Cricetulus griseus: one gene and its partner. The protein of the gene in region 1 purifies or fractionates together with the protein of each later gene. This does not show direct contact. Links are inferred from orthologs where the notes say so. Each region holds a gene or a part of one and is shown in the gene's direction. Other genes may lie near its edges.

Region 1 (7,713 bases):
AGTACGATTATGATGTAGCAAGGAAAATAATTTTATGCCTGGGTGGTGAGAGGGAGTGGTGGTGGTGCACACCTTTAATTCTGGCACTTGGGAATCAGAGGCAGGTAGAATTCTTGAGTTCCAGGACAGCCAAGGCTACAGATACCTTGTCTCAAAAAAGCATAGGTAGGCAGATAAAACGGTGGTGCCGATGGTTTTGTTGTTGGCGTCACTACTACATGAAGGATGTATTAAAGGACTGCAGCATTAGGAAGGTTGAGAACCACTATCTTTTTTTTTTTTTTTTTAACCACTAAATTTTTTAAAAATTTCTTTTATTTGTGTATGTTGGTATTTTGCCTGCATGTATATCTATCTGTATGAGGGTATCAAGTACCCTAGAAATACAGTTACAGACAATTGTGAGCTGCCATGTGGGTGCTGGGAATTGAACCCAGGTCCTCTAGAAGAGCAGCCAGTGCTCTTTTACTGCTGAGCCATCTCTCCAGCCCTGAGAACCACTGTCTTAGAAGTTCATAGCTGTAGGTTTATGGAGCTGTACAATGCTGTTATATCTCTTTTATATACTTTGTCTTCACCAGACTGTAGGAAGTGTGTGCTACAGAATACACAGGGTTTCTCTGTGTAGCTTTGGAGCCTATCCTGGCACTCACTCTGGAGACCAGGCTGGCCTGGAACTCACAGAGATCCGCCTGCCTCTGCCTCCGCCTCCCGAGTGCTGGGATTAAAGGCTAAAGGCGTGTGCCACCACCGCCCGACTGAAACGTCTGCTCTTGGAATTCCATCCCGCAGTCTGTACTCACAGTCAGGTCAGCCCTCAGCCATTGTGCTGTTGTTTGACTTTTCAGAGCTGTAGCTAATGTGTGTGTTGTTATTTAGCTATTGTGCTGGTCTGGGAATGCTGACATGCTTTTCCTCTGCTTGAGGAACCATTGGACTCAGGTTTCTGGCTGTAGATAAGCCTCCAAACTAAGAAAGCTTGCAGTTAGGCAAGCAGGACCCAAGGTCATTTGTGGTCTCCTCAATATCCCCTGGACACCTGGGTATTGTTCATTATCACTTGAACCCGCTAACCCTTGGAAAGCCTTGTTTACTGCTTCACCTTGATCCTGTTCGTCTTTCTTCTATCTCTGCCCACCTGGCGCATGCTGTAGCTGATAGGCAAGATTCCAAGGCCCTTTGGCCACAGTTGGAAATAATCAGAGGACTTCTCAGTCTCAGGCAGACACGCTCGGGGACACAACTTGAAGCAGGGCTTCTTGTACCAAGACTGATGGTGGTTGTCACCCAGGGCTGCCTGGAGAGGTGCTGAGGCGTCTGTCATTGGAATGGACCCTGCATTAGACAGATGAGGACAGGAAGGACGTATGCAAGGCCCTGACAGTGGCATGTGTGCTGTCTAGAGCCACATTTGTGACCCTGCTCTGTTTTCTCTGTCCCCTGAAATGTCTGCACATACAGATCACATCGCCTTGATCATAGAACTTCTGGGGAAGGTGCCTCGCAAGCTCATTGTGGCAGGGAAATATTCCAAGGAATTTTTCACCAAAAAAGGTAAAACAGATATGTTTGTTTCCAGTCATTGAAGGGTAAAAAAAGTGTCTGAAATGAGAACGTCCGTGTGTCTGGTCTGCAGAAAGGTGAGTGTGTGAGTGAGTGTAAGAGAGAGAGAGATTCCATGGATACCCAGTGTGCCTTAACAGTCGCTGAAAGCGGTATGGGGTCAGCACAGCCACACTGTTGGGTTTGATTTGGTTTTGAGTGGTGTCTCCCTATGTATTTCAGGTTGGGTTAGAGGTGCATGCCTCCACACCTACTTAAAAAACACACTGTGGGGTAGGGTGGTACTGGCCAGCCTGGTCTATAAAGAGAGTTCCAAGACAGCCAGAGATGTTACATAGAGAAGTTTTGTCTCCAAAAATTAAAAAAGAAACCACAATATGGGCCCAGAGGGGTGGCCCAGTACTTAAGCACATGTATGTCTAGTAACTGAAAGCCTCTTAGGACAAGGACAGTGCTCCCGCTCACCTTTGCATCCCGGGGTTCTCCACACAGACTAACAACACTTGAGTGTCATGTTTGTGCTGTTAGGAGTGTGGACATGATGTGCCCATTTCTCATCCCAGCCCCCAGTCTCCAGGGCAGGAGTTGTTCCAGGTCAGCCGAGGCTTCATCACAGGGACACATCTCCAACAAAACAAAGAATAAGGGGTACCACATTACTTGGAAGAGGTAGCTTGATAATGTCTTCACTTTGTAGACAGTGTCTAGTTCTCTGGCCTAGGGCAGTCCTCACCTCAGACTCGGGGCAGTCTTCTTCTGCCCAGCCTCCTCAGGCATGAACTTTGAGATGAGCTGAAGTGGAAAATGAACCTGGAAGGATCTGGAGATCTGCTCTGTTGTCTGTACCGTTTTTTAGCTGCTAACGAGTGCTGAGGAACCTGAGCAGGAGGCGTCCTTAGAAAAGTTGAAGCTCATTTGAGCTGGGAAAGTGCTCTTAAGGGACTCTCATGTGTGCAAAGTCAGTCACGGCATGGCCTTTGAAAAGGGCCCCCAATCTCATTGTGTGGATTGCGTTCTTAGTAGCATTTACCCAGGGAAGCTGTTAAGTGATGACCTCAGATTCCTTGCTTACGGCAGGGGCTAAGACCTGTAGATCTCAGCTGCCGGGGTTTTAAGGTACTTCCAGAAAGCATCTGAGAACTGTGGGTGCTGCTCGGTGGTGTGATCCAAGTACCATTTGTTGGAGGGAAAAGGTCAGTTCCAAGGAGCAATTCAACTCCTTGGTGCCACTGAAGCATTTTGTGTGTATCTGTCATGCTGTTGGCTTTTTGTTTGCAAACCGTCGCCTCATTTAAAAGCAGTGTTTGCTAGACCTAGCCAGTTGTTTATAAGGCGGTGCTGGAGCTCACCATGAGGCTTTGGACCGTGTGACCCTTGTACTGTGTCCCCACAGGTGACCTGAAACACATCACCAAGCTGAAGCCTTGGGGCCTTCTGGAGGTTTTGGTGGAGAAGTATGAGTGGCCTCAGGAGGAGGCTGCTGGCTTCACAGATTTCCTGCTGCCCATGCTGGAGCTCATCCCTGAGAAGAGGGCCACTGCTGCTGAGTGTCTCCGCCACCCTTGGCTCAATTCCTAAGCCCCTTCTGCTCAAGCTGCAACAGAGTTCATCAGGCTGACCCTCCGACCCTCCCCTCTGAGACTTTTCCCTCTTCCCTTTCAGGGTGAAGCTCTTTTCTTCCAGGGCTTCTAAATTTTTTTTTAATCCAACATGTTCATTTGGGTTTGCTTCCTTGACCCTGTGGAAATCGCCACAGCCGCTGGACATCCTAGGTGAATTTGGCCTTAGTTGGGCTCTGCCAAAGACTAAAAGTATGAACAGCCCCACCCTCTGCCCTGCCCTTTTCATTAGGTTGTCAACACCCTTTTTAAAGAGGGCTGTGAAGATCTGTGAGCCCCTCCTTTTATTCACCAACTCTAAGAGTCTGGTTTCTAATTCGTATCCCGCTGCCAGCATAAGGTTGAGGAGGGAGGGGTATGAATCTGTGAGCAGCAGCAGAGACATTAAAAGTGCTGTGTCCAGGCCATGTCATCTGCCTGGATTCTTTCTGTGTTCTCTATGTTCACGTTTTTTTTGTTTTTTTGGTTTTTTTTTTTCCTTCGACTTTGACGCTACATTTTTCGATGAGCAACAAATTTGGTTACCAATATCACTGTTGAAAGCACTGTCGGATTTCTGTCATACTCTCATTAACTAAGTTCCTGGAATTTTGATTCTGATTTTTAATTAGACAAAACAGAACCAGTGAATGATATTTCCCGAGAGCCTCAGGTGTTGTGCAAATAGCCGTCTCTGTGTGTCTTCTGTTGCCGTAAGAGCAGTTGCTGTGGTCCACACTTCTGGCTTGGAATGCCTCCTGGCATCTGGCTTGCTCAGTTTGTGTTTACTATCTCATAACTAGAACGCTGAGGTGATCCAGATGGGAGCTGTGCCCTTGGGGAGTGCTCCCGCATTCCAAGTCCTTCCCAGACAGCCCCTGGCGCCCGTTCACAGCTCCTCCTGCCTTGCCTGGAACCCTGGCCCTGATGCAGTTTCTCCACGTGGCTTTGCTGTCTTGTTTCTCAGAGACTCTGGGTCTTGAGTGAAGAGCCGAGGGGAGGGGATGGCACTTTTCTTTTCCCCCTGTTGGTTTTGATATTAGCCATCCTATGCTGCTATTTCCTTGTATAATGTCAGTTTCTAACTACAATTTTGAGATGATTGAAATGTACTTGAGGCTTTTCTTCTTAATGCAAAAAAGGCTTTGTGAGTTTTGTTTTTGGCTCAGCCTCTCATAAACTTGATTACCTAAACATTTCCTGTTCCTCAGGTGAAGTGGGCGTCAGGAAAGAGGCGGGATTAGCTGCTTGCTAATTTAGCAAGGACCAATGGGTCTTAATTACCACACTGTCTGGAAACAGCTCGGTTTCTAACTTGCAGAAAGCCTTGGGCCTGCAAGCCAAGGCTCTCCTAAGCAAGCTGAGCGAAACCAGCCACTGCCTCCTTCCTGTGTGTGAGCCTGGAGAAGAGTAGGCTCATGGAACTCATCAGCTTTGCCTGAGGAACTGGCCAGCCATTATTGGCTCTTGATTGGTTATTCCTGGAACCAGACGTGTTCCTGTAGAAAGAGTTTTTAAAAAGTCAGGCTATCTATGCACCTATCAGGAATAAAGAGAGCAGACGACATCACATAACGGCAGGGAAACCCTACATCAGTTCTACTCCACTGTGGGTGTCAACTGTACTGACATCTAAAGCAATAGCAGACCCACCTGAACTGCTTCTCACTAAGTCACGGTTGCAGGATTACGGGAATCCTAGTGACGTAACCAAGAAACAAGCCAACAGCAGGCCTGTTTTAATCATGAGGGGAGACCCTGGAACTTCATTTGGGAAATAAGTCCCACCAAATAAGGGCTTCCCCCTATTGCTTAAGGAGCCAGAGGACCTGGGAGAGCTGGAAGAGGCAGCAGTGGGAGCTGTCTGTCCATCCATGGCCTCCCTGAGCACGGTGGATGCCCTAGAGGCCAGGCCAGGTCTCCCTGGAGGACTGCTGTTGGCTCTTGGTTGAGAATAAAGCCCTGGTATGTTTTCTATTCTTTCTACTGAGTGCATTGTTTGTGTCCTCACAAATGCAGAACAATAAACAGAGTATTTAATAACCTGCTTGTCTCCAGAGGTTTCGTTTCTTTGCTGCCCAGTTAACTATGCAATAAAACAGAATGTAGGCACTCTCTTGGGTTTGAAATTTTGCTCCTAACTCTTAATTGTGGAATTGAGATGTATTTCAGAAAATTGTATTTATTACATTCAGGAGTGTATCTGGGGCGGTGATTCAGTGATTAGCACATAAACCCACCCCACCAAGAAAGCCAGGTGTGAAATTTGAAAATCAAAAGCATGATGACTTTAAGGGGATGGGAACAGGATCCCTAGAGCTGCAGGCTCAGTGAGACTATCCAGCAAAAAAGCTACAAAGGAAGGCACATAATGCCAGCCTGGCTGCCTCACAGGGGTGTGTGTGTGTGTGTGTGTGTGTGTGTGTGTGTGTGTGTGTGTGTGTGTGTGTGTGTGTGTGTGTGTGTGTACATTGGTTCTCGAGTAGCCTTTTCCCATCATATGAAGGGTTTTCACTGCCCCTCTTGAACTTAGCAAATGACATACACAGTACAACCGTTTTTGGTGGAGCCACTGGCAGGAGGGTCAGGTATACCTGCCTAATCCACTCCCTGTGGTAAGTTCCTAGTGATACCAGCAGCCAGTGGAAGTGATTTTGGAGGCCTCTGGTAATGGAACCAGAGAAGGGTCAGGCAGTTTATTGGGACAACCTGTTGAGCCCTTTGTGGTGTCTTAGTATTTGCTGTGCTGCAGTCAGGGCCCTGGCACTCGCTAGGCCAGTATTCTACCGCCATGCTTGTGTGGGCCACAGATCCAGAAATGGGCATATCCTGCCCTGATTACTTGGAGTACTGGTGAGATTGAAAACTTAACAGGTTTTGGCCGGACATTGGCACATGCCTTTAATCCAGCACTCAGGAGATGGAGACAGGTGGATCTCTGAGTTCGAAGCCAGCCTGGTCTACAGAGCAAGTGCCAGGACATGCTCTGAAACTACAGGATTTATTGGCCATTTATATGGGAGTTTTGTTTATTTTTTTTACTTTATGTGCATTGGTGTTTTTTTTGCCATGGGTATCAGGTCCCCTGAAACTGATACAGTTGTGAGGTGCTGGGAATTGAACCCAGGTCTTCTAGAAGTGAAGTCAGTGCTCTTAACCCCTGAGCTACTTCTCCAGCCCCACTTAAATGTCTTATTTCTTTAAACTCAGATTTCTTGGGGCGGGGGTGGGGAGGTAAGGGGAATTTCAATATGTATCTCTAGCTGTCCTGGAACTCACTGTGTAGACCAGTTTGGCTCCCAAGGGCTAGGATTAAAGACAGGTGCCACCACTCCTGGTCCTACTTAGGGTTCTTTTTTGGTGTGTGTGTGTGTGTGTATGTGTGTTCTCTGTGTAACAGCCCTAGCTGTTGTGGAACTCGCTCTGTAGACCAAGCTGGCTTTGAACTCACAGAGATCCACCTGCCTCTGCCTTCTAAGTGTTGCATAAAGGTTTGTACCACCATCATCCAGTTCTACTCCAGTTTGTTTTGAAGGGCTTTCCTAGTTTTTAAAAACCATTTGTGAGTGTGTGTGCTCATGCATGTGTGGGGGAGGAACACAACTTTAGGAGTTGGTTCTTGTACATTACTTCCACAATTGAACTCATCCTCAGGCTTTCAAGACAAGCCATCATGTCTACCCTAGAGTGCTTTCTTTTTACTATCATGGTTAGGACTTGTTTTATATATTAAAGTTAATGAAATTTTGTTGTTTGCTCCATGTAGTTGCCCAGGTTTTAATTTGCCTTTCCCCTTATATTTATGGCATTTTTAGTCATAAAAAGTCCTTTTTCAGGTACCCATGAACTACATAGTGTTTTGAGTTATTTTGTTGTGCTGTAGGCGGGCATAGCAACGCACACCTATCATTCCAGGACTCAGGAAACTGCGGCAGGAGGATTACTACAAATTTGATGCTAGCCTAGAAGGCTGTTGTGTTCTGTCTAGAAAGAGACCTGTGAGATGCAACAAACCAATAAATTACCAGACTGGTCAGCCATTGGTCTCCTGCCAAGCCTCTTAAGTGTAGAGCTTGGAAATCCAGGGTTTGGGGGCAAGCATCTTGCCACATCAGAACAAGTTTTCACAGAAACTCCCATTGGCTAATGGAACCCAACCCAGCCTATCAGATTTGTCTACTGCTTAGAGCTTTTGTTTTCTGTTCTTTAGGGTTTTTGTTTGTTGGATTGGTTTGGTTTGTTCAGTTGTTTTTGGAGACAGAGTTTCTCTGTTGTAGCCCTGGCTGTCCCAGAACTCACTCTGTAGACCAGGCTGGCCTGGAACTCGAGATCCTGCGTGCCTCTGCTTCCCAAGTGCTGGGAGTAAAGGTGTGTGCCACTCACCAGCTTCATGTTGTGTTTCTAATTTCTGAGCCCTTGCCAGTCTACAGCTTGATGAGGAAAATGTTGACATTAGTGAAGTCGAGTGAGCTTGGGAATATGGCCTATGACACCAGAGAAAGCTTGGTGGCTCACTCTTGGTGTCTTCAGAACATTGACAAAGTGATGGAAG
Region 2 (7,713 bases), on another chromosome or scaffold:
AACTCTGTTAATTATAAATTAGGCTCTTGTCAATATTTGAAACAAGGTTCATTAATTAAATGAATCGGTACTACAGGTTTAGGTCCCAAGAAGTTGGCCTTGTGAGATTTAGTTCATGAGGTTAGGTAAGATGGGTTTTTACTGTTTGGGATTTTGTAAAAATAGAGATGCTCCTTGGTTTAGGACAGGGCTACATCTCAGTAACACCATTATAGTTAACCATTATAGTATTATAGTTATTCTAACACCATTATAGTAACACCACTATAGTCATAGTTAACCCTACTCTGCCTTAAGTGTGTTTAGAACACTGAGGTTCTACTCTGTAGTTGGACAAAAATCATCTTCTACAAAGTTTGTCCTACAATCAAGTATTGAGTAGCTCATATAAAGTTTGGAAACATGAATCCAAGAAATCCTGGCAGCATAATATGAAATAGAATACGGATTCTATCTTTTCATATGGCGTGCCTGCCTGAGAGCAACATCTCACAGGTCCTTAAGAGAGGACCATACAGCATTTGTTAATTGGGGAAAAGATTTAAACCCCAAATCTGAGTAGTTTTTTCTTTTTAAACATTCACATATTGTGTGTATGTGTGAGTGCACACGTGTGTGATCACAGGACCGCTTGTGGGAGTTTGATTCCTCTGTCCACGAGGAAGGTATGGGCTTGAACTCAGGCTGTGAGGCCCAGCAGCCAGTGCCTTTACCTGCCAAGCCCTCTTGCTGGTCCTGAAACACATCTACTGAATAGGTATTGCTTTTGGACTGCCAGTTGCTTCTGTCAGTGGGGAACCTGGAAGATTGCCCTGTCTGTGTAAGAAAAGACTTGAGAATCCATGATAGTGGAATGATATGTGATAAGTTGGAGCAAGCTTTTAAGCCATATAGTTCATGTTATGTAGCAAAGGGAAAGTGCACATGTGGAGCACTTCATGGTGCTGACATTTTATTCCAGGTTTCTAATGTTGTCCTAATTAATTGTCACAATGTCTGTGGTAGGATGTCAGTGTTCTGTTAGTGAGGCTTGCTGCCATAAGAAAATACTGCTACTTGAGTGAGTAGGTTCAGTTTTCTTACTAGGTGTCCAGAAGGAAGACATTTGGTAACCACACCTTAGACTAAATCTCTCATTATCTGGCCTTGAGAGTTAATAGTAACCACACCTCAGACCAAGTCTTTGGTTATTTAGATAAGACATCCATGCCTAAGACCAGACAGCCTACAGTAGCCACGTCTTAGACCTTTAGGTGTTATTTTAACCTTGGAAGAGTAAGGATAGTTTTGAACTCTCTGACTTTAAGCCAAGATGAAGTGAAGCCACTTTAGTATGTGTTTGGCTCAGAGTCTCACTACCAGTGTGTGGCATTTTCCTTTTCAGATATTGATTGCATTGGGACTTTAAAAATGGCATCTTGTAGTTAATGGTTTTTAGCATAGTGATTATTAAATGGTTTCTCATTACTGCTCCTTTACTTTGAAAAGGGAGATTCTACTGTTGTTGGAACAAGTAGGCTCCGTGACTTATATGACAAATTTGAGGAAGAGTTGGGGAACAGGCAAGAGAAGGCCAAAGCTGCTCGGCCTCCATGGGAGCCTCCGAAGACAAAACTAGATGAAGATTTAGGTGAGTGGAGGAGCCTGTGTCTGCTCCTTTATTACTGCTTGATGCTGGGGAAATAACCTTCAGAGTCCCAGCTTGAAACATTTTCTTTTTCCTTTTATTTTTCTTAGCTACAGTCAGCAAATATGTGGTCCTATTTTCTCAGTCACGCTCCAGAATATGTAAGATCTCATTTTCTAGGTTGGGCTAACAAGTGTATCTTTTGCAGAGCTGTCTAGCTTTATAACCAGAAAGTATTGTGTTCCAGCATCCTTCTAAAAGCAGGACCTGTGCCTGCAACCTTAAAACAGGCAGGTGGTACTTGTTGGCTCTTCCATTGCTCAGTGCTCCTTGTTTGATGAGGAAGCATCAGCCCTGTGTGAAGGCCTCTACCTACTCACATAAATGTCTGTTTTTAAGTGTCAGTTCTGAGTTCAGTTTGAAGTAGCCGGTAAGATTCTCCACTTGGTCTAGTGTTTTGAGGTAGGTTCTCATTCTGTAGTCTTGGTAGCCCTAAATTTAATCTCTTGCCCAAGCCAGACTTAAACTCATGGTGGTCCTCCTGCTTCAGCTTCTGGAGTGCTAGAATTACAGGCTACACTGTGTGCTGATGGTATTACCTTTGAGGATAGAAATGTTTTTTGCCACTCTGTGTCCTTAGCCCCTAACAGAATGCCATGCTCAGATGTTACTGCACTTGATCTTGGCCGGAAGGTGGAAGTGTTCCCGAGACATTCCATATGCCCAGATTAATTTTGTCTCATGTCATACAGTAGTGGCAAAATGATAGACTCAGAAACCAATGACCTGGCTCAGGATCCCTGTTTTCCAATCCTGTCTCCATGCCCTGACTACACGGCCCCTCTTCATCCCTTCTCTCCCTTCCATCAGTCTCCTTTCCAGGGCCTGAGTCACAAATGCCCCTTCTGGGAAATTGCCACTGACCTTTCTGGCTTTTAGAGGACTAACTATTGAATAGTGTGAAATCACTATTGTGTTATTTTTATTTGATATTGGTCATTATTCTCATTTTCTTTATAGAAATCTGTATTTTCATTCTTTCCTCAGCTAGATTATGACTTAGCATTACAAACTGTCTGGTTTTCATGGCATTGCTTGGCAGTGTTTGGTGTCGAGTAGCCCCTCAAAAATTTTCTAGATCTCAGCTGCTCCTTACCTTTGAGGTTTAGGACACTTGGAAGTCTTTCAGAACCTTTTGTTAAGTTCATGAACTTCTGCTATGTTTTCTCCTGCTTTCTCCTGCCTTCTGCTAGAGAGTTCCAGTGAATCTGAATGTGAGTCCGACGAGGAGAGCACCTGCTCAAGCAGCTCAGACTCCGAGGTGTTTGATGTCATCGCAGAGATTAAACGCAAAAAGGCCCACCCTGACCGGCTGCATGATGAACTCTGGTACAACGACCCAGGCCAGGTTCGAGTGTTTTTATGCTTTCGCTATATGAAGGTTGCAAACCCACACATCACATTTACGACTCAGGGCTGAGAAGATGCATGTTGGCTGGTATAAAAATGGACCTTTACTCCCGGGGCTTGTGTGTCATTTTTCAGAGCTATTTCCTTTCGGCTTCAGAGTTCAGCTGCAAAGTGTGAGCACAGAACAGCTGTTCCTTGAATCATGTTGATGGTGTTTGTGAGTTGTGTGTTGGGAGCAGGCTGGTAGTGCTGTTAATTAAACCTGCAGTAGGAGGAAGAAGAGGAATGGCAGGACGAGGGAGAACTTGTGGGTCTTTGTAAAGCAGTTCACCTGGAAGGGATCTTGCTGCTAAATAGTGAACTGACTCACTCTGTGCAGTATCACTTGTTTTAGTTGGTAACAGGTCATGAAGTTTTGTAAATTTGCTCCTTCGTTAAGCATGTGAGCTAATAATGACTTAACAGCCGAAACATTTAAAGTAATATTTGATAAAAACAATGTCTATACGTGTATATTTATTGTTATTGAGACAGGATCTCACTATGCAGTTTTGGCTTACCACTTGAGTGATGGGTTACAGGTCTGTGCCACAGGGCTTGGCTCTAAAAAAAACGGTATCTTTATAGCAGATTTGTATATTACAAATGCACAGTCCATACAAAAATGTGTCTTTTATGAATGTGAATTTGTTACACATAGTAAGACCTGTCCCTACTTGCTCTGCATGATAATTTACCAGTTACAGTTTGTGAATAAGTTTATGCCATTCAGTATTAATTAGAATTTTCTTCTGATTCTTGTCAGGTAACAGCCATTTTAAAGGCTTTTTAAATTTTTTTTTTTTTCACTGAAACAGCCCTTTTATTTTGATTTATGTTAAGTGTTAAGTGTTAAGTGTTAAGATATGCATTGTGCCTGCATATCTCTTTGTGCAACATGTGTGTTCCTTGTGCTCACAGAGCCCTGCCATTCCTAAGGTGCTGTTACATTTTCCTTTCTGTTCAGAAGGAGGAGTTGCATTTGATAGGATAGAATTTACTAGAAGCTGTAATCCCTTGTTGTTTTTCAGAACTGTACACCATTACTACAATATAATTTTAGAACTTTTTTTTTTTTTTTTCCCTAAAAGAAAGCTTTCTGCATACCTGCTCTTTTTCACTGGTGGTTGTTCTCAGTCAGGTAGTATCTATCAGCCTTGCTTTATGTATGTTACTGTCCTGTTCAGCCTCCTAGGGCCCTTTATTCTGTTGATTGTACTTGGTTTCCTGTTCTCAGTGTATTTGAGCCTTGTGAAGGGGTCCATGTGGGAGCGTAGACCCTGGTGGAAGGCAAGAATGGAGGCTGTTTGTCTGCTGCCCTGGAGCTCGCACTGGCACTAGGAGTGTGTTGTGACCATTGATGGAAAGTTAGAAAGCCTCTCACTTGTCAGCTGTTACTTCAGATAATATCCCAGCACTGGTTTTTTGATAGTGATGCTATTTTTCTGCTGTACCTCCAGGAGCTTTATATTTCCCAAGAGACTAAAAAGAGTTTGGCTTTACTATTTCTTGTCAAAGTCTTATTGAGATAGTTTCATTTATATTTTAATTGAATACAATGAATTATAAATCCCTAGAACTTCAAAAACAACAACAACAGCTATCAATATGTAGTCACCCTTCGGTATCTATGTTAGATTTTGATTCCAGGGTCTGCACAGACACTAAAATCCACAGATGTAGTCTTTTATGAATATAGTGTAGTATTTACATATAAGTGACACACACCTCTTTTCTGCTTTAAATATTTAGATAAATGTGTGCCTGCATGTGCACAGTGGATAGAACACAAGCACAAATGTAATCCTCAGTATGTGTGTAAATAAGTGTGTGCTGTGCGTGTGCATGGAGGTGAGAACACAAGCAAGGGTGTAATCCTCAGGGACCTTCCACCTATTGTTTGAAGCAGAGTTTCTCATCGGCCAGGAACTTCACCTGTCTGGCCTAGCTAGCTGGTGTGTGAGTATTCAGGGAGGGACCTTGCCGTTGCTAGAGTTCCAGGCATGTGGTATGTGTGGAATACTCATCTTTTTTTTCTGTGCTGCTCAGCACTTCGTTTCTTCTCTTTAAACCTTGCCTAACTGACCACAGCAGCTCCAGAACTATGTCCATTTAGACAGAGTTTCTTTTTCTTCCCAAATCTAAGTGTACTACTCTGCTACTTATCCTCTTTTGCTTGGTACTTACTGTCCTGAGAGGTGTTCAACATTTTTCACGTACAGAGTCAAGTGAAACAAGGTGGAAGAGGGTATATTTTAAGCTGTCTAGCATTCAAAGTTTTTTTTTTTTTTTTTTTTTTTTTTATTCTACTGGACACCCCCACCCCCGTGCTTCATACATATTTTAGTTTTTAGAACATTTAATCTGCAGGCCACCTTCAAAGCAGCCTGTGTGTACCTTTAGGATATGACGTACATTTGCCTCTCTGTGTGTAGAGTCATTTTCCCTGAAATAAGAAAAAGGATAGTGCTGCAGACTGTGAGGGTGAACAGCGTACTGACACTGATATTTCCTGCCTGGCTGCACAAATAACTTGGGATTCCAGTGTTGTCATATGGTTTCCCTTTATCATATATTACAGACAGTTTGCACCTTTATTAGTTTTGGAACATCCGTTTCATCTTCCAACCATGACAGCCTCTTCAGGGCCTCAGTACTCATGACATTAAACCTCACAGTTTCTGAGGCATCATTGTGCCTCCCTCGTGTGGATTTCCCCCCACCCCACAATAAAACTGAATTGCTTTCTGTTTCTGACAGATGAATGATGGGCCACTTTGCAAATGCAGCGCCAAAGCCAGACGCACAGGAATTCGGCACAGCATCTATCCTGGAGAAGAGGTAATTGGCTTGGGTTATGATTTGTGCAAGCACCAAGGAGTCCCAAGTAGACAGATGCCATTGTTATTCTTTTCCCATTAAATGAAATAATGTCGTCCAAGTAATCTTCTCATGTTCCCTGTTAGAGGCTCTGTTACTGACAGTTATAGAGGGAAGATATTTGGGCTTTGAGTACACTACAGACTGTTGTCAAGGAAACTAAAAAGAGGTTGGAAGGTTCATGTATGTCATCTGTGTTGTTATTAAGTGTTCTGGAACTGGACACACTAGCATTAGTGTCCTGTTTCCATCGGTGGTTATGAATGTTTTTATTCAAGTCATGTTCTCCTCCCCTGGGGACCTGCAGGTGCTTCATCTTCACTGCAGTACTTGTCAGGATCCTTGTCTCTACCAACTGTTGAGTTCCCATTGACAATATAGTCCAGCCTTGGCTTCTCAGGAACCCTAAGCTTGACTGAAGGGAGAGAACACATTTCCTATGTAGCCACTTGTAACTACTCTCTTGATTAGTTTGCTATGGTTTTTTTTTTTTTTTTTTTTTTTCTCCTCACTGTCTTTCAGTTTCATAAGTTATTTTCATTAAGCCCAGGATTACCATTTTATGATTCAACACATTTTACCTACACATAGAATATGTAAGTTCTTAATTTCTATTTAAAACTAGCTTGAGACTCTAATAAAGCTATAAGACCACCTGATTATTTATTTAGTTATGTTCTGAGGTCAGTGAGTGTAGTGAGGAGTTTGGCAGGGTTTCATCTGTGAGCATCTGTCCCTGTGCCTCAGGTAGGGTGTTCTGACTTGCTGCTGGGGATCAGTGTCTGAGAAGAGGAGTCCGGGCAAGAGTAGAGGGGGATGGTTCATTTGCTCTGTGGGCCTGACCAAGCCATCTTGACAGAATTTCCTTTTGTTTGGCTGGAATGGCCTTTATACCATCATATGCTCTCATCTCCAGAGCAGCCCTTTCAGGAGGCACAGGAGAGGAGGCTTTGTAGCTGGGGGTGACCAACAGCTGCAACCTGCATGCCGACTGCATTCCCTATAGCTAGGCAACAGGCTTTTCTGGGATGGGAGTCTGAGTGGGCTGTGGTATCAGCTGTATGCTTTGGGCTATATTCTACTTGTACAGATAGAAGGGGCCTAGGCAATCAACTTGCTAATGATAGGAGGTTGTTCTCAAGGAGTGGGGCCAGTTGTACCTGGCCATTTGGATAGATGGTCACTAGCATAAGGTTAGCTTAGCTGGCTTCTTTCTTGTTAAGTGAGGCCTGTGCTGTTGGGGTCATGCAAAGCCTCCTCTCGTTACTGTGGTCACTTCACTCATGTGCCCACCCTGTCATCTCCAAGGTGATGTGGGGACAGACATGACTGCTCTAGTCATTTTGTTTGTTTGGTGCCATAATAGCTGCTCTGATGGTCACCATACTGATGTAAAGTCATTAAGTCCCTCCCACCAACCCAGTTCCAAGTCTCTCCCAATACCTTTTCATTCTTGATCCTTTGGTCTTTTACCTTGTGGGCATCTTCAGGCTACTTCCTTTTCCATTTAGAGTACCTGTTCAGGAACGCTGTTGGAACTGTTTACTGGAGAGCTTTCTCCCTCATTGGTGTCTTTCAAAGTTATCCCAGAACAAGTCTGAGATGCAGTTTTTCTTTTGCATACACATTCTAAATTAACCTGATTGTAAACCAGGCCTGAGCTTTTTACTCCACCTTCACCATTGCATCATTACTCACCAGCTGAGAAGAGAGGATGGCTGATGCTACAGTGTTGAAGCCAGTAGGGATCTGGGCCA

The links. Proteins that work in one complex are often made in the same cells at the same time.
Region 2: the proteins of Srpk1 (region 1) and Drosha purify together in Homo sapiens (affinity purification with mass spectrometry; 3 studies listed by BioGRID and IntAct, counting the BioPlex papers as one, with this or other methods). This does not show direct contact. The link is inferred for Cricetulus griseus from reciprocal best matches to the Homo sapiens genes SRPK1 and DROSHA.

What each region holds. Positions count from the first base shown.
Region 1 is NW_023276806.1:233,694,417-233,702,129, reverse strand, and holds the end of Srpk1 (SRSF protein kinase 1), read left to right. Parts: intron 1-1,461; coding exon 1,462-1,554; intron 1,555-2,956; coding exon 2,957-3,141; 3' UTR 3,142-5,206; downstream 5,207-7,713. UniProt on the Homo sapiens protein: Serine/arginine-rich protein-specific kinase which specifically phosphorylates its substrates at serine residues located in regions rich in arginine/serine dipeptides, known as RS domains and is involved in the phosphorylation of SR splicing factors and the regulation of splicing.
Region 2 is NC_048595.1:345,853,119-345,860,831, forward strand, and holds part of Drosha (ribonuclease 3), read left to right. Parts: intron 1-1,488; coding exon 1,489-1,630; intron 1,631-2,880; coding exon 2,881-3,035; intron 3,036-5,836; coding exon 5,837-5,917; intron 5,918-7,713. UniProt on the Homo sapiens protein: Ribonuclease III double-stranded (ds) RNA-specific endoribonuclease that is involved in the initial step of microRNA (miRNA) biogenesis.